Linked DNA regions of Styela clava. The main gene of each other region encodes a partner of the protein of the gene in region 3 in a complex. Links are inferred from orthologs where the notes say so. Each region holds a gene or a part of one and is shown on either strand. Other genes may lie near its edges. The genes, in order: integrator complex subunit 4-like, integrator complex subunit 11-like and integrator complex subunit 9-like.

Region 1 (8,449 bases), on a different chromosome or scaffold from region 3:
AAACCGCCAATAAAGGCAGCACTACGACACATTCGGAGAAAAGTATATACCCTATAGATTTGATTTCACTTTAACAAAACAGTGGCAGCATGTTTTGACTTGGCTATATATAATACCAAAATAGCGTGTATTCACAGTTTTATAAACAATGTCGACGTAACAAATTTAAGATGGATTTGTATTTCAACTGAAGCTGCTGGAAAATTGATCAAATATATTTTTCTCCTTGTCACAAATGAATACTGTACGTTTATTAAACTAAGAATTAATTGGGAAAGTTTAAAATATAAAAAAAAAACATTTTACGCTTTCTATAATGGGTTCTTTTCTGAATTCCGAAAAATAATCGTTTTTGAAAGGGCGATTTCTCGAAAACCGCCAATAAAGTCAGCACTACGACACATTCGGAAAAAAGCAAACACCTTTTAGATTCGACTTCACTATACCATAACAGTAGCAGCACGTTTTGACTTGGCCATTTATAATACCAAACATAGCGTATATCTCAATTATTTGAATAGCGTAGATGTTCACATATTTTAAAAAGGTTTGGTATTTCAAATAAACTCACCTAATATCGTAATATTACGTTTTCTTACTTTTTCAAACACCGACACTGTGTGTTAATTAAACTTGGAATAAGATGCAAATTGTATAAAATAGTGAAAAATGTCTTAGAACCTATATATAATTTTTTTCAATTTCCCAAACATGCCGTTTTTGGAGTGACGAATTCTCGGAAAATAGCCAATAAAGGCAGCAATACGACACTTTTGGAGAATAGCAGATACGTTAAAGATTCGATTTCACCAAACCAGAACAGTAGCAGCACGTTTTGATTTGGCCATATTTAATACTAAACAAAGCATATAATTTTCAATTATATCAACTATGTAGATGTAACATATTTAAAAACGGTTAAGTATTTCAACTAAATTTACTGGATAATTCATCAAACACTTTTTTCTCTTGGTCATACATCAAAACTGTACGTTCATTAAACTTGGAATTAGTGTGCAAATCTTAAAATGCCAAAAAATGATTTGACGCCCTCTAGTGGATCCTTTTCGGAATTTCGAAAAATTATCGTTTTTGAAAGGGCGATTTCTCAAAAACCTCCAATAAAGGCAGCACTACGACACATTCCGAGAAAAGCAGATACCTTATAGATTCGATTTTAATATGTCAGAACAGTAGCAGCACGTTTTGACTTGGCCATATATAATACCAAACATAGCGTATAATTTTTAATTTTATCAACTATGTAGATGTAACATATTTGAAAACGGTTAGGTATTTCAACTTAATTTACTGGATAATTCATCAAACACTTTTTTCTCTTGGTCATACATCAAAACTGTATGTTCATTAAACTTGGAATAAGACGGCGAATCCTAAAATAACAAAAAATGATTTGACGCCCTCTTGTGTTTTTTTTTTTGAAGTTTTGAAAAAATATCGTTTTTAAAAGGGCGATTTCTCAAAAACCGCCAATAAAGGCAGCACTACAACACATTCGGAGAAAAGAAAATACCATATAGATTCCATTTCATTATGTCAGAACAACAGCAGCACGATTTTACTTGGCCATATATAATACCAAATATAACGTGTATTCACAATTTTATAAACAATGTACACGTAACATATTGTAAAAAGATTTTGTATTTTAACTAAATTTACTGGATAATTCATCAAACATCTTTTTTTTTTGAACGTACATCAATAATGAACGTTCATTAAACTTGGAATAGGTTGGAATAATATAAACTAATTTACGAGCTCTAAGTCAATATTTTCATTAAAATATAAAACCACGAATCGGTTACAAGTAATGATGGATCATTTTAGCCTGTCCCTAGTCAATCGCTGTCATTCCAGAACGCACTTTTTCATTGCAATCAAACTTAAGCTCATCGGAAGACACGATAACGATTAAAACACTTCATCCAAACCTATTTTTTTGAAACACGGCGAGAAACTTACAAATAACTTGCGAAATTGCGAAAGAAGGCAATGTTCACAACCATGCTTGAATGTCTATCTAAGAGAACAAGGTGTATCAGCGAATGTAAAAATAAATGCAAAAAAGAAGGGAAATTTACGATATGTTTGGTATTACGTATGGCAGAGTCAATCGTGCAGCTACTGTTCTAGTACAGTGAAATGGAATTCAAAATGTATTTGTTTTTTTCCGAATGTGTCGTAGTGCTGCCTTTATTGGCGGTTTTCGAGAAATCGCCCTTTTAAAAACGATATTTTTTCAAATTATGAAAAGAATCCACAAGGATGCGTAAAATAATTTTTTGTTGTTTTATACTTTCCGCAACTTATTCCAAGTTCAATTAAAGTACAGTATTGATTTAGGACCAGGAGAAAAATATATTCGATTATTTATCGAGTAAATTTAGTTGAAATACCAAACCGTTTTCAAATATGTTACGTCTGCATTGTTTATAAAAGTTTGAATACACGCTATGTTTGGTATTATATATGGCCAAGTCAAAACGTGCTGCTACAGTTCTGACATAATGGAATCAAATCTATAAGGTATATGCTTTTCTCAGAATGTGTCGTAATGCTGCCTTTATTGGCGGTTTTCAAGAATTCGTCACTCCATAAACGGTATGTTTAGGAAATTGAAAAAAATATATAATAGGGCGTAAGACATTTTATGTGGTTTTATACAATTCACAACTTATTCCAAGTTTAATTAACGTGCAGTATTGATGTATGACCAAGAGAAAAAAGTGTTTGATGAATTACCAGTAAATCTAGTTGAAATACCTAACCGTTTTTGAATATGTTACATCTACATGATTGATAAAATTAAAAATTATACGCTATGTTTGGTATTATTTATGGCCAACTCAAAACGTGCTGCTACTGTTCTGACTTTGAAATTTTGAAAATAATCCACAAAAGGACGTAAAATGCTTTTTGGTATTTTATACTTTCCGCAACTTATTCCAAGTTTAATGAACGTATGGTATATATGTATGTCCAAGAGAAAAAGATGTTTGATAAATTATCTAGAAAATTTATTTGAAATACCAAACCGTTTTTGAATAATGTTAAGTCTGCATTGTTTATAAAAGTTTGAATACACGCTATGTTTGGTATTATATATGGCCAAGTCAAAACGTGCTGCTACTGTTTTGACATAATGAAATCAAATCTATAAGGTATTTGCTTTGCTCCGAATGTGTCGTAGTGCTGCCTTTATTGGCGGTTTTTGAGAAATCGTCCTTTTCAAAAACGATAATTTTTCGAAATTCCGAAAAGAATCCACAAGAGGGCGTCAAATCATTTTTTGGCATTTTAAGATTTGCACACTAATTCCAAGTTTAATGAACGTACAGTTTTGTTGTATACCCAAGAGAAGAAAGTATTTGATGAATTTTCCAGTAAATTTAGTTGAAATACCAAACCGTTTTTAAATATGTCACATCTACAATATTTAATAAAATTGAAAGTATACGCTATGTTTGGAATTATATATGGCCAAGTCAAAACGTGCTGCTACTGTTCTGACATATTAAAATCGAATCTATAAGGTATCTGCTTTTCTCCAAATGTGTCGTAATGCTGCCTCTATTGGCGGTTTTCGAGAAATCGCTATTTCAATAACAATAATTTTTTGAAATTTTGAAAATAATCCACAAAAGGACGTAAAATGCTTTTTGGTATTTTATACTTTCCGCAACTTATTCCAAGTTTAATGAACGTACAATATATATGTATGTCCAAGAAAAAAAGATGTTTGATAATTTATCTAGTAAATTTAGTTGAAATACCAAACGTTTTTTGAATATGTTACGTCTGCATTGTTTATAACTTTTTGAATACACGCTATGTTTGGTATTATATATGGCAAAGTCAAAACATGCTGCTACTGTTCTGACATAATGAAATCAAATCTATAAGATATCTGCTTTTCTCCGAATGTGTCGTAGTGCTGCCTTTATTGGCGGTTTTTGAGAAATCGCCCTTTCAAAAACGATATTTTTTTGAAATTCCGAAAAAAATCCACAAGAGGGCGTAAAATCATTTTTTGTTATTTTTAGATTTGCCACTTATTCCAAGTTTATTGAACGTACAGTTGTGATATATGGCCAAGAGAAAAAAGTATTTGATGAATTATCCAGTAAATTTAGTTGAAATACCAAACCGTTTTTAAATATGTTACATCTACATAGTTAATAAAATTGAAAATTATATGCTATGTTTGGTATCATGTATTGCCAAGTTAAAACGTGCTGCTACTGTTCTGACATATTAAAATCGAATCTATAGGGTATATGCTTTTCTTCGAATGTGTCGTAGTGCTGCCTTTAGTGGCGGTTTTTGAGAAATCGCCCTTTCAAAAACGGTAATTTTGTGAAATTTATTAAAGAATCCACAAGAGGGCGTAATTTTTTTTCGGTATTTCAGACTTTCCTCAACTTATTCTAAGTTTAATGAAGTGCATTATTGTTGTGTGACAAAGAGAAAAATATTTTCTTTGATGAACTATCCAGTAAATTTAGTTGAAATACAAAATCAGTTTCAAATTTGTTATATATACATTGTTTTAAAAATTGAAGAATATACGCTATGTTTAGTATTATATATGGTCAAGTCAAAACGTGCTGAGACTGTTCTGACATATTGAAATCGAATCTTTGGGGTTTCTACTTTTCACCAATGGTGTTGCAATGCTGCCTTTATTGGAGGTTTTCATGAAACGACCATGTTACACGACGAAAATTCAGTCATTTTTAAACATCTCTCAAAGAATTATAAAAAAATTTTGTGCACTGTAACAGTCGCTTTAGCTTGTTTACTATATATTAACAATACGAGGAGTGTAATTAATGATTGTTTTGCTTTAATTGCTATTGTGAAACTAATCAAAATATACACTTTCTTTTAAAAATCATTGGGAACATTTATTTTCACGCGTGGGTATTTTCTGCGATTCTGTCAGTCACAATTTCGTGTTTTGCTGCTAGCTTCACAGAGGTGAAAATTTGTGGTAATCGATCTTGTTCGTTCTGAGTACGGATCGAGAGATTTGTACACATGAAAATGGCGGTTCATCTTAAAAAGAGGGCTTGTGAAGAATTCAGCCATGTTATCCAAAGCGACCTTAGCACACCAAAACGGCTACGTCTAATTAAAAAAAGTTCAAGTGAGTGTTAGGTTAAAACACTGAAAACATGTAAAATATTCCCGTATAAAATTGGATTTTTTTGTTCGGATTTTTCATATGTTTTAAATTAATTTACACATGACGGTAAAATAAATTTAATACCGTACTTCATTCCAGTGCTGGCTAATTGAATATCTATATTGATATATCACCTGTTTGTTTCAGTTCATATTGAAAAACAAACTTAACCATTAACTTCGTCATTTGTTTTTAGATTCAACAGAAAAACAGACAATTGTAAAAGTCAAAGATTCTGACAGCTCAAAAGAAAAACTTCAATCCCTTATTCAGTTCTCAAAAAAGCTTCCAATACCTCCTAATCAGGTACGGCAGAATGTTCTCGAGCTACTAAAACTTTTTGCAAATGAGAAAGATTCATCTGTTCGAACAAAGATTGCTTGGTTGATAGGGAATTTGTGTCAAACAGCAAGATTTAATGCTCTGAGCACACTGAAAAGTATTATTTCACTCCTTAAATCTGAAAAATCGAGCCAAGTATTGTCACAACTTTGGTCTGTTCTCACTAATTGCGCTAAAATTCTCCCGAATGAACGAGAACTACATGAAACCCTTGTTGAACTTGCTTGCAAAACATTGCTTAGCAAAAACCATAAAGTTCGAAGCGAGTGTCTTATACTGATCGGTAACCTCGGAAAAATTGAGAAATCGACTGAACCATGTAGGCCTAGTAGTAAAAGCAATAAAGTGAACATACAAACACTTCTTGGAGATTTCTTTGGAGATCAAGAACCAAGAGTACGATGTAGTGCATTACAAGCAATGATATTGCTCCATCAAAGAAGACAAAACTTAGAACTTCATGTGTATAATCAAGCTTGCTCAGCTCTTTCTGATGACTATGAAGCTGTGAGAGTTGCTGCTTTAAAACTTGTCTGGATAATGAGCAACATATACCCAGAAAGTGAGGTATCTGTTTCAATGTCAGATGAAAAACTACGACTTGTAGATGATGCTTTTGTAAAACTGTGTGACATGGTGAATGACAGTTCATATAAAGTCAGAGCGGCTGCTGCTGGACTTCTAGGTTCCATGCACCTAGTTAGTAATTCATTTCTTTTTCAAACTCTGGACAAAAAATTGATGTCGGATTTAAAAAAGAAAAAATCACTAAACGAAAAAGCAAAAGAGGCATATGTGGGTGAATTCTCTTCTGGTGCTAAATGGGCGGATGATGCTCCCAAAGAAGTAGATACGGAAGCTAACCAGCTTATAATTGGAGGAGCTTGTGGTGCCTTTGTTCACAGCCTCGAAGACGAAATGTTAGAAGTACGAACTGCTGCTGTTGATTCTCTTACAGAGCTTGCATGTCATCGTATCAATTCAAAATTTCCTCAAGCAGCTTTGGATTTTCTTGTTGATTGTCTTAATGATGAAATTGAAGCCGTAAGATTGAATGCAGTCAATTCTTTACATAAGATCATGCAGAATGTTGCTCTTCTTGAAGACCAATTGGAAAACGTATTAGCGGGAATGGAAGATTTCTGTGTTGAAATAAGAGAAGGAATACATTTACTGCTAAGTAATTGTACCTTGACATCAAAATTCTGTCTTAATGATACAATTATGAAGTTGCTCAAAAATCTCAATAAATATCCACAGGACCGAATGTCTATCTGGAAAGCTTATAAACACATAGGGAAGCATCATAGCCAATTGGTGTATTTGCTTGTTCCGCATTTACTATCATGCCATCCTTACTTTGATATGCCTGAACCAAAGATGGACGACCCAGGTTATATTGGCGTTCTTATTCTTGTTTTTAATGCAGCGGAATTATGTCCGAAAATGACGCAAATATTCCCAGAGCATGTTGTAAGGCATTATCAGTATCTTCGTGACAGTATACCTGATTTAGTACCGCAAGAAATTAAACTAACAACTTTTGCAAATGGAGATGAATCGTGTATGAATTCCCCACCTCGACGGTCTGAAGGTGCATCAGATCCTGCAGAATTTTTAAACAAAGCACTACAACGTGTTAAAAATCTACAACTTCATGACAGCAGGACACAAAAAAGCCTTCTCACTTGTACCATCAATGATTTGAAACACATTTCTAACATTGCGCCAAAGCTTTCATCGACTGCTACCAGCTCAGCAAATTTTTTGCAAGCACAACTACTTCTGTCAGAAATAGTTGATACCAGGGCGTGGTCTGGATCTGCATTGGCTTGCACTCAACATTTAGAATCCACAAGACCGGCTGCTAGAAAAATTGAGAGACTAACACAAGAACTAGAGCATTTGTTTCTTGGTCTGAGTACGGACGAAATTGCTCTTCTCAGGCAGATGTGCCTGAAAGCACAATCATTGGAGTTCCTAATGGATATGCAGAACCTAATGAATCAAAAAGATGTGTCAACGTCTTCTCTTTCACTGAGATGCCAGAAATTCTTTAACACTATAAAAGATGTTCATCAGTATTTGGAAACGCACAATCATATACCTGATTCATTTTCAAAAACACTTTTCAACGAAGTCTTAAAGTTGGATCCAACGAAAAAATATTCATTAGTTGTCAAGTTGCTTCAACCATTGTTATTACATTACAGTGTATCTAATGTCACTTTCTCCAACAAAGTTCGGGAGTCAAAGGTCGTAGTTCATACTCCTCTTTCTCGGACAGATTCCAGTATATCCTTTTCAGCAGGATTAACTACTGCTCTAGATGTGGATGCTACTTCAACAAATATCCCAAACCCATTGCGTGATGTGAGAATACAGATTAAATATCCAGATTCAACTGTTCAAATGGTTCTGTTAAAACCACAGGATATCAAACAAATATCTGCAATGGAGCATCGAATAATTACTAAGGTGAATTCTTTGACTAATTACTATTTACAGCATGCTAATTGTATTTAATATTCAAGGGGTGAGTAGGGACAGAATACCACATAATTCATTATAAAAATGTAATTTGTGAGCTATAAATATGATTTTTGAGTATGCAAAATCATGATTTAAGTTAGTAAATTTTCCATAGTGAAGTTATGCTTATGGCACTTTACACAATTTTGATTTTCACAGATTTATTAAGGATTTTACATGAAACACATGGCGGAATAGCTATTTAAATAAATATTGGAATCCTAAATTGGGAGATAGTAATGTGATAGTGTCTTTACATTTTTTCCGTTCACTTAAGAAATCTTAATTGCAGGTGTTTATCAGCCATCAGCAATGGACAGATGCTTGTCTTATCAAGATGCAATTTGTTAAAGTATTCAACAC
Region 2 (7,891 bases), on a different chromosome or scaffold from region 3:
AAAAAATAACAATGATAATTTTTAATCGACTTCAACCGCATTAAAATCACTGCCATCCAAATTCATTGTTACTACAAATTTATGCGGTAGTTAATTCAGGTCTTTTGTTTTTAAAACGGCGGATTAAATAAACTGCGAAGCAGCATTGTTGTCAGCAGATACACGCTGGAACCACTATTTTTCGCCTATTGTCAGATTGAATTAACGCTTCCATAGATTTTTATGACTAATATGTTACTATGTTTCTTGCATTAATTCGCGCGCGAGTTGGCGGGTCACCTGCTGGTTTAAAACCATTAATATCTTGCATAGTTGGCCTGTGTGGATTACCCCAATTATGTTTCATTCAGAAAATTGCGTACAACATTTTATTGATCCTTCACATGTTTCATCTAAAGAGGCTTCTGGCACACGTGAGAGGATTGGATCGAAGGAGTTTCATTGTTTCGGGAGGATATTTTGCTTTGTATATGAATGAACGTGAGAGGACTGGATCGGAGGAGTTTTAATGTTTCGGGAAAATATTTTGCCTCGTATATGAGTGAAACGTGAGAGGATTGGATAGAAAACTTTCATTGTTTCGAGACATTTTGCTTTGTATATAATAGGTACCGTATAAGTTTATTTCGACTGCGTAATCAGCATAACAGACGATAAAATAGTAGATAAAACAAATAAATAATGCGGGTATCGCTGCAAACATTTGACTTATTTAGTATTATCGCAATGCAATTGCGGACACATTATGATCATCTATTCTTAAGAGTGTTACTTGCGCGTAACAGAAGCTGATGAGCATGAAAATAGGCCAAAGGATTTATGCATCGAAAAAGGTCGAGAACCGCTGCCTATTTTATCTCGGAGATCAGTGATTCTTTGTTTAGCATAAAAAGATTTTCCAGTACTTGGACATTTTCGGCGCATGAGATAGAACCAAAATAAAGTGACATAAAACTTGGTACCGGTACTGATATTATTAAATCACAGGATATCCAATCAGTTCTTTAATATGCTCCCAACCAACTCCAAGCTTGCCCCAGAAAGTTTTAAAGGATGAACACTTGAAAGATTTGACAACCCATTATTGTGTTTATTATATTGATAAAAAAGAAAGTAACAAATGCACGGAATATGCACAAAGCAGTGTGTACACAAGATGTAGCAGGGTTAATAGAGTAAGCTTTCTAAACCTATAAAACAATTGTGCTCAACAGATTCTGCATTATGGCGCAACTGCCTCATTCAAGTTTAGCTTTGACTAGAGTACTAGCCAGATGTATGTGTAAACTGTAAATACTTCTTGAGATGCACAAAACTGGTGAAATAATGGACCTGATTTTAAGAAAAACTCGGATTATGCAAGTTCTCTAGTATTTGAAATTATATCAATATGGCCATATGATTTTGGTCTTGATTTAGTGAAAAGATTGAACAAGTACGTCAGTGAACAGGAAGTTTTGTCACTGATTTTGGCAAACCATTTTTCAAAACCTCCATTAAATAACTTCCCAAATCCTCATCTTGATATGGCCATGAAACCAATATTGATTTACTTGCTGGACTGTCATCTTCATGGGTATTAAAATCATCCGACACATCCATAGCTGTTTCTGAATCTTTTTGAACTTTAAGTAAAACTGATTCAATCAATATATGTCCATCTGATGTGGTATTAACAGAATGTGACCTCAACAACTGCTTTAAATGTTCATATAATCGAGTCATTGTTAGTTTTTCAGAACGGCAAGCATTTTGTAATTCCACTGTTGATGTGAATCGTAAATCATGTTTTGGCAGTCCAAGTTCTTGTAATGCTTCATCTTGTTCTAAAAGTCTTATTTTATTGTCTTTCATTAGCAACGCTCCATGTATAATTTTAGAACATTTTGGGTTCGGAGTTGCAGTATCAACAATTTCAGTTTTGTGTTTGAGGAGTTTTAAAGACATGTCAACTGGTACACATGGCTTTGATGAGATGACACAGGTCTCCCCATTTGCTGGATTAAAGCACTCCAATCCTAATTCATGATTTATTTTTGCTTTTAAAAATTCCATTTTCTTTGCTTCACCATGAACCAACAACACATGCTCTGGTTCACACATACGAGTTAGCTGCATTATCCCTTTAGCATCAGCGTGTGCACTAAACGACATATATTGTACCTGCATTTTGATTTCAACCACCTTACCAGGTTGCAACTCGATTTTCCTCATACCAGAAAGGATTTTGTGGCCTACAGTACCTGCAACACAATAACCAGGCATTATGATGGTATTTTTGTCACTAGTACACCATTTTTTAAAAATTTCAAGAGACAATCCACTATGGAGCATTCCCGGGGTTGCAAAAACAACCATGGGACCTGGATTTTCAATGAGTGTTCTGTTGAATGGCTTGATATGTTTGAAATCGAACAAGTTTCTATCCACAAAAGTACTTTTTATCTTTTGATTTGTCCAAGTTATGAAAAGCTTGTAATAATTTGTTGCTTTTTCAGTTAAACCTGTTGAAAAATATATTGGAACTCTCAAATTCATGCGATCCCAGTATGACTCTAGTAAAATACAAAGTTCTTGTGCTCTTCCAAGAGCAAAAACAGGGATCAATACTTTTCCACCCTTATCAATTGTTTCATGCACTTTCTTCAGAAAATCCCTTTCTCGACATCGTTTCGAATCTCGTATAGTTGTTGCATACGTTGATTCAGTAATAAGCAGGGTTGGCCGGCATTTATCTACCCATGCTGCTCCAAGATGCCTATCAGGGGTCATATTATAATCTCCTGTGTATAAAACAGATTCAGTTCCAGCACGAATGTAGAACATTCCTGCTCCTAATACATGCCCTGCATAATACGCCTTAATCTGGAGTTCTTCGTCAACATATATGGTTTGATGCAGATTTGCCGTAACTACCTTTTTCATACAATCTTTGATCATTTGTGAGGTGAAAAAATTAACTTCACCTTTTTTATCAACAGTTATTTTTCTGTAGTCTTCCAAAAGGATTGGAGCTATTGCTTTTGTAGGATGGGTCATGTAGATTGGTCCATCATAGCCAACCATTTCAGACATGTATGGTAATGCACCACAGTGGTCCAAATGAAAATGGCTTATAATAACGCAGTCAATATACTCGGTTAATCGTCCCTTTCCACCAGTGACATATGAAAAGTCAGGAAACCTTCGATCATCGTTAAATCCCATGTGCATTCCACAATCTAACATCACATTTTTTCCACCAAGGGATATCAATATGCAACTGCGGCCAACATCCTGGCCTGCACCAAGGGGTACAACTTTTATGTCAGGCATTACTGCGTTACCAATTCAGCAATTATCAAAAGGCATATCTAAATGTATTAAACCATAGGATAGCTGCCAAATTTAAAACGTTGATATGTTAGGTCTGTAGGTGCTATAACTAACTGTACAAGTCTGCAAGTGGACTTGATGGCTTCCTCCACCATCAAGGTTGTGGTTTGCCATATGATTGAGGCATATTATGGGCTCACAGAAATACAAACTTTTTTCAAGTTGTTAAATTAATAAGTTCAGAAGTTAGCACTTCCATACAACTAGACTACGAAATTAAAATACAAAAATGAAAAAAACTATTGAAGTGATAAGTATAAGTATGGGTTTATTTCGACTCCATAATCAGCAAAACAATAAAATGAGTGCTAAAAATAAATAAATAAAAACTGATTATGAAATCAGGAGAGCGAACAACACCTTAGATAAGGTTTAAAACGTACAGAATGTATATAAGATGGAAGGTTTTGCCAAGAAGATGTGGTACGTGTTCACTCACCTAAAATAATTGAAATATTTCACACACGCTTACACGCAACCATATAGAAGTTATTAAGTAAAGGGAACATGAAAAATTACATACTGGTAGTTAATAAAAAATAAATAAATAAAAATTACTTGCCACACCATATTAATAAATTTATCATGATTGCCACTGCCAAATTGATCAATTTTATAAATGGGAGTGAACAGTAAAGATAAACTTTTATAAAAAAATATATTGTCAAGCTGATTATAGATGGAGTCAAATGCCAAAATGCCCAACCAAAGTTGCCAGAATTGGGTGCATGAAGAGGTGGGCTAGACCACTTCATTGCCCAAACTAGAGCCTATTATTGCCAAAAATAATTTTGAAAATGAAATTTTTTTAACTGAATGGGTTGGGGAACTGGGACTAATTTTTGGATGGCGTATTCAGGTGGGGGTTAGGATTGATACGAAAAAAAAAATTCGTATGCTACGCCCTCTAGAAGTACGTTAGGCACGAAACTACATTAGACTCCGACCGAACTTGGCCTACCAATATGATGTGAATTGGATTCACCCGTTCCTTCAATGGATGTCTGTTCGACCTTTGACACCCAAATTTTAGTAGATTTTGGCAAATTTTTGGTATACCTTTTCTCGAGATGGCGCTTGCAAACTTAGAATACTATTCACATATTTATCCTGCGGGAGAGAAAAACCGATTAAACGGCCTAATCATATGATCCTCGACGGCCTCCACGGGTACTAGTCCAGGGTATGAAATTAGTTAGTTTAGCGGTTCCCAACATTTTGTTCATGCAACGCCAAATTATCAGGGAAAACCTGAGAAAAAAATTGCTACTTTCAAATAAAATTCAATTTTGTGATCATCGTTGTGTATTTTATGTCTTTTAAAGTTTGTAAACATGTAGTCCATGTATGACTTCAGCAGCATTCAAAATCCCAATATATGCTTTGGAAAAAATCTTCGATAAGTTCTTTACACTTCACTCTTAGTCTTTTTCTTACAAAGAGAGAGAGATTTATTGTTTCGTCAACCAGAAAACAAGCATTGGTACAACAAAATATGCAAGTTAATTCGGTATGGACTGGTGGAAGCGATGCGCACTTAGGGTCATCAGAGTCAGCTCCCCCAAAATTCACCATTAAGATTCACAGTTAAAAGCGGTTAAAGCGTAGTAGTATATATTCACGGTTAAATCAAACGCTAGTATACCCTAGCCCAGCGTTTCCCAAACTGTGTTCCGCGGAACACTAGTGTTCCGCGACGCGAGGGTCTTCCGAGTGTTCCGCGACGCGAGGGTCTTCCGAGTGTTCCGCGGAAAAGCGATACAAATTACGACTAAATTGGTCGCCATAGCGATCACAGGATCCTGAAGAAGCCGTTCAATATCGCGTCACCGCCGGCCTGAAGCGGACTAACGTTTTAAGGGGAGAGCCATTTTCGTGAACCGTCGGCCTAGCTTTTTGATTGTCAAGTTCATTATCAAATTTACAGCAATCTTTTTGGTTTTGCTATAGGTAAACATGTAAGCTTAAAGAATAAAGGCAAAAGGGTCAAATGTTCCTTCTCCCTCTCTGCCTGGTTTTACTTTGAAATGCTCATATTAAACAAGATAGCTATGCTCAAATATATGGACACGTAGCGCCACCCAATGGCAATAACTTTGATGACGTCATAGCAAAAAAAAAAGTAATAGCCTTCTGGAGAAAAATTTTATCTTCAACCACTGAAAATTTCAAAGCAATTGGTCCAGTATTCGAAGAGAAAAGCGACTTTTTAAAAACGTGTCAAAGAACAACATCAACATAATATTGAAACGATCGTTATGTCCACTACGTGTCCAATAACTGATTTATTGATTAATATATTTTTAAAATAGGAAAAAATAAACATTTATGGTAAATGCTATGTTAAATATTCAATCATACTGTATTAATGTTTAATACAATTCTGTTAGTTTTCGCGGCGCATTTAGCAACACTAGTTCTCCTGGCGCAACCTTTGGGAACCGCTGCCTTACACCATTTTTCTTTATCAATTTTACACTTTCATTTTTCGGTGTTCCGCGAGACGAGATGAAAAGTGTGAGTGTTCCGTGGCCGAAAAAGTTTGGGAAACGCTGCCCTAGCCTACCATACGGTGCTAATTTTGGAAGTTTTATAAATTTGCGAAAGTAGTGGGTTAATAATATGGTCAACGTATCAGTCAAAAGCGAACAAAAACGACCACAAAACATTAGCCAAGATGTCTTATCGGAATCGCTCCCCCATTTACCTGTATTTGGCCTTATTTTATTGCCTTAAGTATTTTGCGTAGCGATCTCAATATCATTGCATGGCCTGGTTCCGTAGTTCCAGAGCCGTGCATATAAATATAACTAAAGAGCGCTCCATAAGTGCGTGTACCAATATGGAGGTAACTAATATTGTTCGCCTACTCTATAGACTTTATAGACTATAGGTTATTGCATTTTTATTATATAAGGCAAAAACAATTGTTTCCACTTATATCTATTGTATAATCGCCTAAACCAGGGGTTCTCAAACTTTTGGTGTTGCGGAGCCCCTGAAAAGGTTGACTATTATTCGCGGAGCCCCAAAAGAAATGTTAAAATTGTAGCTTTCCGATAAATATTCCTGAGTAAGTTAAAAGTACTTAACTTAAATTAAATGCTAAACCTTTTTAATGGGGTTAATGCAAGTCATAAATAAATCGAAATTTCAAAGATAAATTATATATACTCTTACTAAAGCTGTAAATTTGACACTTGACAAACATATTAATAAACTAGGGGTCGAATCTTTTCCCTTTTGACATTTTCGGAAGACTTAAAAAGGCCCGTAATAACGTGCGCGATTGCATTTTGTTACAATCACCGATAGTTTTTGTCAGCATGGCATGTTTTTAAACATCTTTACGCCGGTGTTTATTCTCCCTAAATCAAAAATTTTCTTCGCCATATACATGTATTTTTCCACAATGACGACGATAATTGCTTTTTTGTTCTCGTGGGGAATTATGAGTTCAATGTGAAAAACGCTTTTATAGGCATTGTAAATCACAAAATTTGGTGTAATGTTAGGTTTTCTTTTGGGTATTCATCGTATAGTAACTGCGAAATCGAAACACAGTCAATTGTGTGCGCGATTTACCTTTTTTTATTCTGAAACTACCGACGGAGCCGCATGCATTTGAAATAAATTTCAATCGTATTTTGCCCAGATCTTGTGATTTTTTAAACGGCGATATCTTGCTTAATAATAATCTCGAGTGCAAAAGAACAAATCAAGTTTGACAAATTCCAAGATCGCAAAAATACGACTCCAATTTATTTATAGTTGGCAGTTTATCACGTCTTTTATGTTATTTTAGAATAGTATTCTTTCATTTTAGTAATCCTAATAGTAATCTCGAATGAAACTTGAGTAACTATGAGTACAATTGAATTATTACGACAAGACACTTTAAATGCTCGCATCGGCCATGCATTGAATATTTTACGCAACAGAAATCTCGTTATCCGTTTTTTATAATCGCAAAGAATGTTGCGCGCAAATCCCCACCTCTTGAGAATCCTGGCTGCGCTCCAGCTTATAAATAATGTCATTTTTTAATTCCGCCTCTTTGCCATATTTCGAGGCTATATTGTTGTCAAATTTTATCAAAGCTGTTATTGCTTCTTTGAACAGCTACAAAACTAGTCATTATTTTGAAAAGTAATCGAATAGCTCGCGGAGCCCCTGGGTTTCTCTCGCGGAGCCCTGGGGCTCCGTACGGAGCACTTTGAGAACCTATGGCCTAAACAACCAAACTTTTTCAAAAACGAGATCCACATCAGACTATAAATTTCCAACGTGAGTATAATCGTGTTTCAATACCCACAAAAGGTCGCATATAGATCCATATGTAGCGCACTGGGTAGTAAAATAGACGAAAAGCTGGCCAAAACCTGAAACTTTGGAAGCATAAACGCAAAGATGGCGACGATCAAATTGCCCCGCGCTGCGACATCGCAACACCAGAGAGAAGATCGTTCCATGTATTTCCAATTCAGTGGCTCAAGCGCGTATCTTCTGATCCGTT
Region 3 (9,111 bases):
ACACATCGAAATTACTTCGTACTGCAGCCCAGTCAGGTAATTTAGCAAATTACATATCTCAGAAATGTACGGCACAAGAATCTCGTTCCTCATAATATTTTTAGTGCAGGTTTTCACGCTGAGTTCAAGACGTCAAGTTCTGATGGATCAAAATATTAAATTCGTTTATTGCTTCAATATTTACCAATTGACACATTACAATGTTTTTCATGAGAATCAACGTCAATAAAACGTAATATCAAAAACAGTATTAACGATGTGACGAAGTTTCGATATCATACTTCCAGGATCGACTCCTGTTGTTTATGACTATAAAGATGGTATGTGTAAAATTTCCCTAGCATGGTTGATGACGCAAAGGATAAAAATCTAGACCAAAAGGCAATGCAATAAATTTAAAGAATATAAAACTGAAAAAAGAATTAAAAATGTCACTTATACACTAGGCCAACTTATTAAAATCGATAGGGTCGGTAACACGATATAAATACACGGCCAAACCATTTTTGTACTTACACGGCAGTGTGTTTGACATCTCCAGTGTTCGCTGGATTTTGTTAAAGTGTGCTCGGCGATTTGGCGCATCGTGCTAGGCGTTAGGAATACGCTCACCATCCAACCTCTGATTACTACGCGTGGGTTCACAGGTTCGAATTCCATGCGGGGATAGTGATGTGCGAGAGTATAGCTGCTCCTCGCCGTCGTAGGGTGGTTCACGTAACCGCTGGTCAGTTACAGCTTTCTCCACCATCAAGTTCATGCTTCCTAAAACAAGTAACTGTCTACCTAACTAATCCATACCCGGCATGGACCGCTAACTGGAGGAGAGGCCATACCATTGCACACTTTGCATTTTGTTAGTGTGTGATATGATAAGTGAATTATAACTATATAATTATATATATAAATTTATATAAGTGGAAAGTAGATGTAATATGTTATTTGAGCATCATTCATCGGTTGTTGCTTCTGCATGTCATGAGCGCGCTAATTTACATGCATAATCAGGTAAAGACGATTTATGACGTTATAATATCCGACGACAACAGCTTGTTGTGTAACATCAATGATAGTGTCCACTTTCTTTGTCAAACTATAGCCAGGCCATCACGACAAACTAATCATGATAAATTTGCTTGTGAACTATCATCACGCGTCTGTCCAAAATTTAATATCTTCAAACAAGTAATTGTGAAATTGCCTATAATTTTGATATTATAGCTAAAACGCCCATATTTTCAGAATACTTCATGAATTCTTGCTCATGGTATCGTTTGGAGACAAAATGAATGCTTGTTCGAGGCCATGTTTGGAGACAAACAAATGCTTTTCCAACGTCCTAATTGTTTGAAGATAGCACAGAATGCTTGTCTATTGCTTTCAACGAAGGAAGCACGAATGCTTGGAGGCTTGCCTTAATTGGTAACAACATGATTGCTTGTCTAAGGCCTTGTTCGGAGACTACCCTATTGTGGGCTTTGCTGTCAATTGTGACAAATATGGGGAGTTTTGTCCCGAGCTTCTCACGTTATACACTGACCGCTGTATGAACAAAGAATCTTTCCTGAGTACGCTCCCTGTCAAATCACGGCCCTTTCTTCGAAGGTTAGCTGGGTAAGTGGCAGGGTTTGTCTCCTGTGCAGTCCCGACGTCCTGTAGCAATGACTGCGGTCTTTGTGCACGGTTTTGTGAGGTGCAAAATATTTTCGACCGCTTATTAGAACGCTAACAGATGTCCTGTCGATTTGGAAGTATAGTTGTCAACTCTAATGGTTGTACAAGCTAAAAACGATAGGCCAGGAAATATGTAACCGGATACTTGTGGCGGCACCAAATTGAATCTGTTTAATACTGACATAGGCAAACGACGGCCTGCCTGCCGAATTTGGCCCGTTGAGTGATTCAATCCGCCTGGTGCTCTCATAAACTTCTGCTTTCATTCAATTCTGCCTGCGCTACATTCTTACCATGTAATTTATTAGTCTATCTTTTCCCGAAGGTTTTTAATAGCCTTTTTCTTCATCCCTTTTCTGCAGCCTTATCCGTGTAAATTGATAGCTGAATCAATAAAATCTAATGTTTGCCCACACGAGTTAGTGAACAGATGTTCAGTCTGATTAATTACAACAAATCTAAACAAAATTATCAATAGATACTCACCTTAAAACTGTTTTGACAAATGCCACAACCAAATTTTGATGTTTTAGCTAAAAATAAATTCAAGGAATTTGTTGAGATTGCGATTAGATTTAGTTGTTACACGAGGCTTATTGTTTTCCACTTTTGCCTTTGTAGCACTGTAAATAAAATTCCGTTCATTAAATATAACTTTTATACGTCACACTTACATGGCCCGCCGGTTCAATGGGCAAAATTTTTGTCCCCTTATCTAAAACCTTGCCCACCCGTAGTCTAATAAAATCTTGTGGCGGCGAATGTGGTATAGTATGGTACACAACACAAGGAACGCGTGAGTGTGACCAGTGTTCTTAATGTACAGTAATAATATAACGATTGTCTTACAACTTGCTGGAAACCATTTAGACCAGCGATTCCCAAAGTGGGCGAAACGCTCCCTTGTGTTCGTTTGCAATAACTTGGGGGGCGCTGATGGCGATTTAGACAATTGAGGGGCGCTGGATGTCAAACAGGGCGATTCGGGGCGCTGACATCAATAGGGGAACTCACAAAAAGGGTGATATTATATATAATTTACTATGCTATGGTTCAAACTAGTTTGCTTGTGATTTCGGTGTTGGAAATTTCTCGCTTTACGTAGAATATTAAATCCGTATTGTTTCGTAATAATACTAGTCTACCGCTACGGCATACCGGTACGCTTTCTTCACCATGCACTGCGCGTTTCGTTGTACTGTTTTGAATAACAGCTTCATTTTACTATCGGGTACTAGGCAAGGGTGGGATTCAAACTTTTTGTCAGCCGGTTCCTGCACAAAAGACATATTTTTCAGCCGGTTCTGTTACAAACAGAACATTGACAGTAACCAGTAATGCTAACCGGTTCGCTGATCTCATAAAATTCCGTGAGACGGTTCTATAGAACCGGCTGAATCACATCACTGGTTCTATGGTGTTTTGAAGCGGTAGTGTAAGTACAACACCCTTATGTTATAATTTTGGGTTTGTTAGGAGCAAGACGTGAGAGCTGAGCATCAGATACCGGTAGGACCGTCTCGTCCGTCTCCATGTTGCGACTTAACTGGTTCATTTTTATTTGTTGAGTCATTGAATAATAAGGTTACATAATTAATACATAAATTGACAAACGGTAAAGATCTAGCTTGCTGTTAAATCATGTTGTGCTTGACATTGTTTATTGTCGGTTTATCATTTGTGTTGCGTAAGTTCAAAATAACGAATATAGTGATTTAAGCAGCATATTTAACTGATTTATATCAAAAACAGTATTATACATCTGTACATCGTGGTCCCAAAAAAAAACGGTACCATCTATTTCTCAATTACTTCTACGAAAATGGAGTGAATTATTCAAATTTGTCTACACTTGAACTACTGTTTGTACCCAAAAGTGTCGGAAAATCTAGGGCGTTTTGCACAAAAATTATGTTGTTTCTAGAATATGTTTCAAATGCCCTCCTCGGCATTGAAATAAGAATTGCATTCTTTTTGCAACATTGTCAATCACTCTACTTTGGGTATCTCTCTATTTATTTCTGCTATTGAAGCCTTGAGTTAACCACTCGTTTGAGGATTGTCCTGATACAAATTGTCCCTCGACAAATATTAAAACATATCAAAATCTGAGAGGTTTCAGTCCGATAATTAAGATGCCCACTGTATGTCATTGCTGACTTCTCTCTCAGGAAAGCAAGCGTCTGATTTGATGTATAGGACGTCGCCTCGTTATGTTGGAAACACTGCTGGTCACCTCCATCAATCCCTCAAGTGATGTCCCAGAGTTTTCTCGGTACAACCACGTAATGTTCTGTATTCACCGTTTGAACGCTTTAATTTCCATTGCATGTCCTGCGCTTCAGCAGAAAACTGAGTGGTTGAAAATTTTGCGAAACATCTGAGAAAATCATACGCAAACAGAAGTTCAAGCGCAAATAAAATTAAATAATTTTTTTGGAGATAGAAATTTTTGGTTTACATTTTCTAGATAACTCTGAATTTCCAGAAGCGAACATGCACCACTACCATTGGATTTATACTTTCAAATCCATGTTCAGTCTTTCAGTATTCCATCTTTTTTGGAACAGAATCAAATTTAAATATCCTCATGTGTGCGATCGGGTTGAAAGTTTTTTTATTGCTCTTGCCAGCTCATTCCTGGTAGAGCGTGTATTTATTGCAGTGACCGCACTTTTACATATCAAGAGAGCTTCCCTCGACAGTGTCAGGCGAGGAGACATAAGACTTTATTTAACTGAAATGATGCTAGATAATATCAATCTAGTGGCATTTCACTAGGCTCAACCTTCACATTATATATACTAATGATAAATGGAGAATAAAGTTGCTTTGACTTTTTTGTCAGAGGGGCGTTTGCTAGTTAAAAAGTTAACATGGGGCGCGGGTAAAAAATAGTTTGGGAAACACTGATTTAGACAGAAGCGCAAAGTTTTCGTACTTTGGTTCAGGGGAACATGTTCTAAAATTTTGATACCAGTATCCAACCAATTTTTCCAAACTTTTGTGTGTTCATTGTTTTGTATAACTTACGGTCAGCCGGAATATTTTTTTTCGGGGAAATCAAAGTAAACTTATACCGGTACAGTACTGCAATATCAGACTATGCAGGATTGCAGGGACTATTTTTTCGCAAAAGTTAATTTTGTAATGTACTAATGCTGTAATGACGTGCAGATTGAATGACTAGCCACAGGTGATAATTCTGAAATTATTAGGACATTGCACATTTTGAAGTGTTGATGTTTGGCAGTGCACAGATGTCAGGATGTACTGATGTAAGTGGGACACTCGCTGTACCACACGGTTCTGGGGTTACGGTAGGTTGTTCAGCTTAATCATAGGCTTACCATACGTCCCGGTTTAGCCGGGACAGTCCCGGTTTTATCGTGTTTTTCCACCGTCCCGGCGATAGACTCAAATGTCCCGGTTTTGCAGTATGACAGTCATAAATAATTTTTCTATTTGATACTATTACAAAATTGCTTTTTTTTCAACGGACGCAGCCGATTTACCACTGATTTGCGTCTCACTCACTAGTTCAGATAGAGAGAAAATTGTTATGACATGACGTATGAACCATGCGTTAATATAACGCCCAAGTGTACTGTCGTTGAATCATCAAAATGTCGAAAACAAAGTGCAAGTTTTCTAATGAGTTGAACAATTTTCCGAAGACCAATAGAGGATTTTTCAATATAATTCACAGCTAATTTTGGTCCCTATAATAAGCCCACAATGGTATGGTAAACATTCAGAGTATTACTAAACCCCTAGAATCAAACCAAAGTTGGCTTGTCCTATCCGCTTCGTCCCGGTTTTTTGTTTCAGAAATATGGTAAGCCTACTTAATCATATGGCGAACCACGACCTCACGTATTGATAACGCTCAGCAATTTCTGACGATAAGCCACACTGCCAAGCCATAGTTTGAGTGTTGACTGAAATCAGAAAATAGACCAAGCATGAACACAAAATTAACCTGTACAATACAGCAGTACGAGTATGCTTTTATGGTACCATACTGTAACCAAATGATTGAATGAAGTTGTTTCCAATTGTTACATTTTACCTAAACTGCCTAAAGTGTTCCTTTTCTTCTTGTCACCAATTGTTACATTTTACCTAAACTGCCTAAAGTGTTCCTTTTCTTCTTGTCAAGTAGCTATCACACTACACAAATAGGTCAATCGGACCATTGAATTAAAATAATACTGTGATAATTTATACACAAATTGGTGATATTGGCTGTGAACTGAATGCTATAATGCGGGTTTATAATCTATCACCAAGTGATACATGCCCATGCATTGTGCTGAAGTTCAAGTCTTGCACTATTATGCTCGACTGCTCCTTGGATTTATTATCTTCTCTGAAGTTTTTACCTTGTGGATCTACTGAGAGAACCAGTGGAAAGCATTTGTCAAAATGGGTGCTACGAGACTCGGATGGGCAAGTTATTACTGATAATGAACTGAAAGAATGCTCGGGTTCAGTGTTTGTTGACAGTAGCCCTGAGTTTTGTATTCCTGAAATTGATCTTTTGGACCTGTCAACAGTTGATGTCATTTTAGTTTCAAATTACTTCAATATGCTTGCTGTACCATACCTAACTGAATATTGCGGATTTCAAGGTGCTGTATATGCAACGGATCCTTCACACCAAATCGGACGTTTGTTCATGAAAGAAATGGTGCAATACTGTCATCGATTATCACCAACGTCCCAAGCAACAAAATGGAAAAATGAGGATTTAGAAAACAACCTACCTACATCATTGAGAGATGTTTGGAATAACGATGTTCTTTCATGGAGACAGTGTTACAATGAAAATGATTTACACAATGCACTTTCAAGGGTGCATGTTGTTGGTTATGCAGAAAAAATCAGCATATTTGGAAGTTTAACAATAAGCGCGTACAGTTCTGGATTTGCGATTGGAAGCTGTAACTGGTGTATAAATTCAGACTATGAAAAGATAGTATACATGTCTGATAGCTCGTCTTTAACAACACATCCGCAGCCGATGGATATTACACCATTGAGGAACAGTGATGCTTTAATATTTACTGGATTAAGTAGAATGCCCACAAATAATCCAGATAATATGATAAGTGAATTTTGTAGTTGTTTAGCTGTAACGCTGAAAGCTGGTGGTAATGTCTTGGTTCCATGTTTTCCATCTGGTCTTGTTTATGATTTACTTGAATGCCTTCTTGCTTATTTAGACCAAGCTGGTTTAACAAACATTCCAATATATTTTATATCACCTGTCGCTAAAGACTCATTGGCATTTTCACAGGTTTATTCTGAATGGCTTCATCCAAACAAGCAAAATAAAGTATACTTACCTGAACCACCATTTCCACATGATGAACTGATTGCAATGGGCAAACTTAAGGTTTTTTCTAGTATCCATGAAGGTCTGTCTGCATCTTTCAAAAAGCCATGTATTGTCTTTGCTGGCCATCCATCACTACGATTTGGCGATGCTGTACATTTTATAGAAATGTGGAAAAATTCAGCAACTAACTCTGTCATATTTGTTGAACCAAATTTTCCATATCTAGAAGTTTTGGCTCCATTTCAACCCCTCCAAATGAAAGCGTATCATTTTGAAATTGATACTCGAACAAATCCATCGGCAGCAAATTTAATATTAAATGATTTAAAAGCAAAACATGTTATTGTGCCGACAAGTTATACAAAACCACCTGTTTTGCATCCCCATAGAACTGATCTCTGTCTTCAGTTGAACCAACCTCTGCTTTGCATGGACAGAAAATCAGTTTTACCAATTGATGTCAAAAGACAATTTGAAAAGGTTCAGCTTTCTGCTGATTTGTCAGCGACATTATTACCTGCTGAAGTTAGACCTGGAGTAATGCTTGCCGCATTATCAGGTGAACTTGTAGTCAAAGACAATAAGCATAAGTTAAAACTAGTCACCAAGCCAACTCCAGGAAGCAAAAAAAGAAAATTTCAGGAAGTAAGTGCTTTACACCGACCTCTTATGTGGGGAAAACTTCATGTTGATAATCTGCTTGACAATTTGATTAAAGAAGGCTACACAAATGCTAAAGTGGAGGATACATCTTCTGGTCATATGATTCTTCTTCGAGACACAATTATTCAAATTGACGAAGATTCAACTCATATTGTGTGCGAAGGAAATGAATCGTTGAGAATAAAATTGAGGGATATTTTACTAAGAAGCTTGTCTGGATTGTGAATCAAAAATAAAAATAATTTTACACGATTGTAATTTTTAAAAAGTATTTTATGTTTCTGCATTTTGTGCCAGCAGTCATCCATTTCAGCACATCTTACTAAATTGTTTAAGAAAAGGCCAACTTCATCTCAATATTTGCTTAAACCAAATCGCTGATTCAGTACCATTCTGCTGGTATTTATGATGGGACAGGAAGTGGAAATGAATAGTGTTGCTAAATTCTTGTTGTTGTTCTGGAATAAAAGGCCCTTTTCCACAATCTAATGAGAAATCCATTTTAAATTTTCAGTTTTTCAAAACATCGAATATGTGAAATTTTATTTTGAAATATCTCTATGGCAGGGGTCGGGAACCTATGGCTCCTTTAGTGACGGCATATGGCTCCCAGAAGAATCTAATATTCTTATGCTATGCTTACTATTGTTACGAGATTTCGAACTCTTTTATAGCCACATTTGGCAGAAAAATTGCCAATACGTTTGAAACGGCGCTTCCAGCGCATGTCTATGTTATGTAAGAGAATCACCAGATAGGCATTTTGACGAAACTAGGGGATTCTGGAACATATTTTGTGACCTCACAAAGCGATAGAGTTGCGGAGCAATAGAGAAAGCTTTTTGTACGTACTGGTTGTACAGTATTTGTCATATACAGATCGGACTAGTAAAGCTAGTGTTTTAAAATACTACGGAGATGCCTGAACGAAAGAAGGGAGATGAGTATCGTAGATTTCAACTTGTGCTGCATGTGAACAGCCGTTCAAGGCATGCAGCATCAGAAGTCACATTAAATGTATATTGACATATATGTGTTGACTTTTGAGTAAAAATTTCAGGCCTGATTAAGTTAAGAAATGCATTTATGGTTCGCACGGAAATGCAATTGAAAATATATGTACTTTTTATGGCTCTCTTAACCAAAAAGGTTCCTGACCCCCTGCTCTATGGGGTCCTGATGGGACCGATATTTCAACAAAAATAAAAGATGGAACACTCTTTACTCCGACTGCCACTTTCCGATCTCTTCAAACTCAGTGCCAGTACCATCGAGGTGTAAAGACCTTAATGGCCGGTACCGATGCTCTACATTCGTTCTCTTTTAAGAACCGGTGTCTTATTCTATAACAACCAGTGTACGGTATATTAGAGAATCTCGGGTAGATAATATGATTTATTTTCGATCATAACCAGGACTACGCATTGCAG

What was found.
Region 1: the proteins of integrator complex subunit 9-like (region 3) and integrator complex subunit 4-like are in contact, whole or in part, in a cryo-EM structure (PDB 7SN8), measured with the Drosophila melanogaster proteins. The link is inferred for Styela clava from reciprocal best matches to the Drosophila melanogaster genes IntS9 and IntS4. Residues at the interface, in NP_648838.3 of Drosophila melanogaster: Arg2, Arg23, Met88, Lys90, Met91, Asp93, Glu96, Asp98, Arg173, Lys176, Asp203, Leu205, Gly206, Gly500, Glu501, Ile502, Arg504, Val544, Lys545, Asp546; in NP_572488.1 of Drosophila melanogaster: Arg105, Leu108, Val112, Thr115, Asp116, Asp147, Thr148, Ser149, Lys153, Glu156, Gln193, Met196, Arg200, His231, Lys234, Gln264, Asp265, Ser266, Arg269, Tyr302.
Region 2: the proteins of integrator complex subunit 9-like (region 3) and integrator complex subunit 11-like are in contact, whole or in part, in a cryo-EM structure (PDB 7SN8), measured with the Drosophila melanogaster proteins. The link is inferred for Styela clava from reciprocal best matches to the Drosophila melanogaster genes IntS9 and IntS11. Residues at the interface, in NP_648838.3 of Drosophila melanogaster: Glu128, Tyr198, Asp199, Glu200, Lys201, His230, Asp333, Ser334, Ala337, Tyr338, Asn340, Ile341, Glu344, Gln351, Val354, Tyr355, Leu356, Pro357, Asp358, Asp359, Pro360, Arg509, Lys510, Leu511, Asp512, Arg513, Ile514, Tyr515, Ile516, Ser518; in NP_651721.1 of Drosophila melanogaster: His94, Lys97, Ala98, Pro135, Thr137, His139, Gln140, Ser141, Glu149, Lys151, Lys274, Thr277, Tyr278, Lys280, Met281, Phe282, Ile283, Thr284, Trp285, Phe294, Val295, His296, Val450, Lys451, Ile452, Pro453, Val454, Asp455, Ala456, Ser457.

The regions. Positions count from the first base shown.
Region 1 is NC_135259.1:15,384,453-15,392,901, forward strand, and holds the start of integrator complex subunit 4-like, read left to right. Parts: upstream 1-4,985; 5' UTR 4,986-5,064; coding exon 5,065-5,173; intron 5,174-5,408; coding exon 5,409-8,032; intron 8,033-8,378; coding exon 8,379-8,449. UniProt on the Drosophila melanogaster protein: Component of the integrator complex, a multiprotein complex that terminates RNA polymerase II (Pol II) transcription in the promoter-proximal region of genes.
Region 2 is NC_135252.1:16,274,706-16,282,596, forward strand, and holds integrator complex subunit 11-like, read right to left. Parts: upstream 3,398-7,891; 5' UTR 3,316-3,397; coding exon 1,441-3,315; 3' UTR 1,086-1,440; downstream 1-1,085. UniProt on the Drosophila melanogaster protein: RNA endonuclease component of the integrator complex, a multiprotein complex that terminates RNA polymerase II (Pol II) transcription in the promoter-proximal region of genes.
Region 3 is NC_135251.1:23,510,042-23,519,152, forward strand, and holds integrator complex subunit 9-like, read left to right. Parts: upstream 1-5,543; 5' UTR 5,544-5,941; coding exon 5,942-7,906; 3' UTR 7,907-8,226; downstream 8,227-9,111. UniProt on the Drosophila melanogaster protein: Component of the integrator complex, a multiprotein complex that terminates RNA polymerase II (Pol II) transcription in the promoter-proximal region of genes.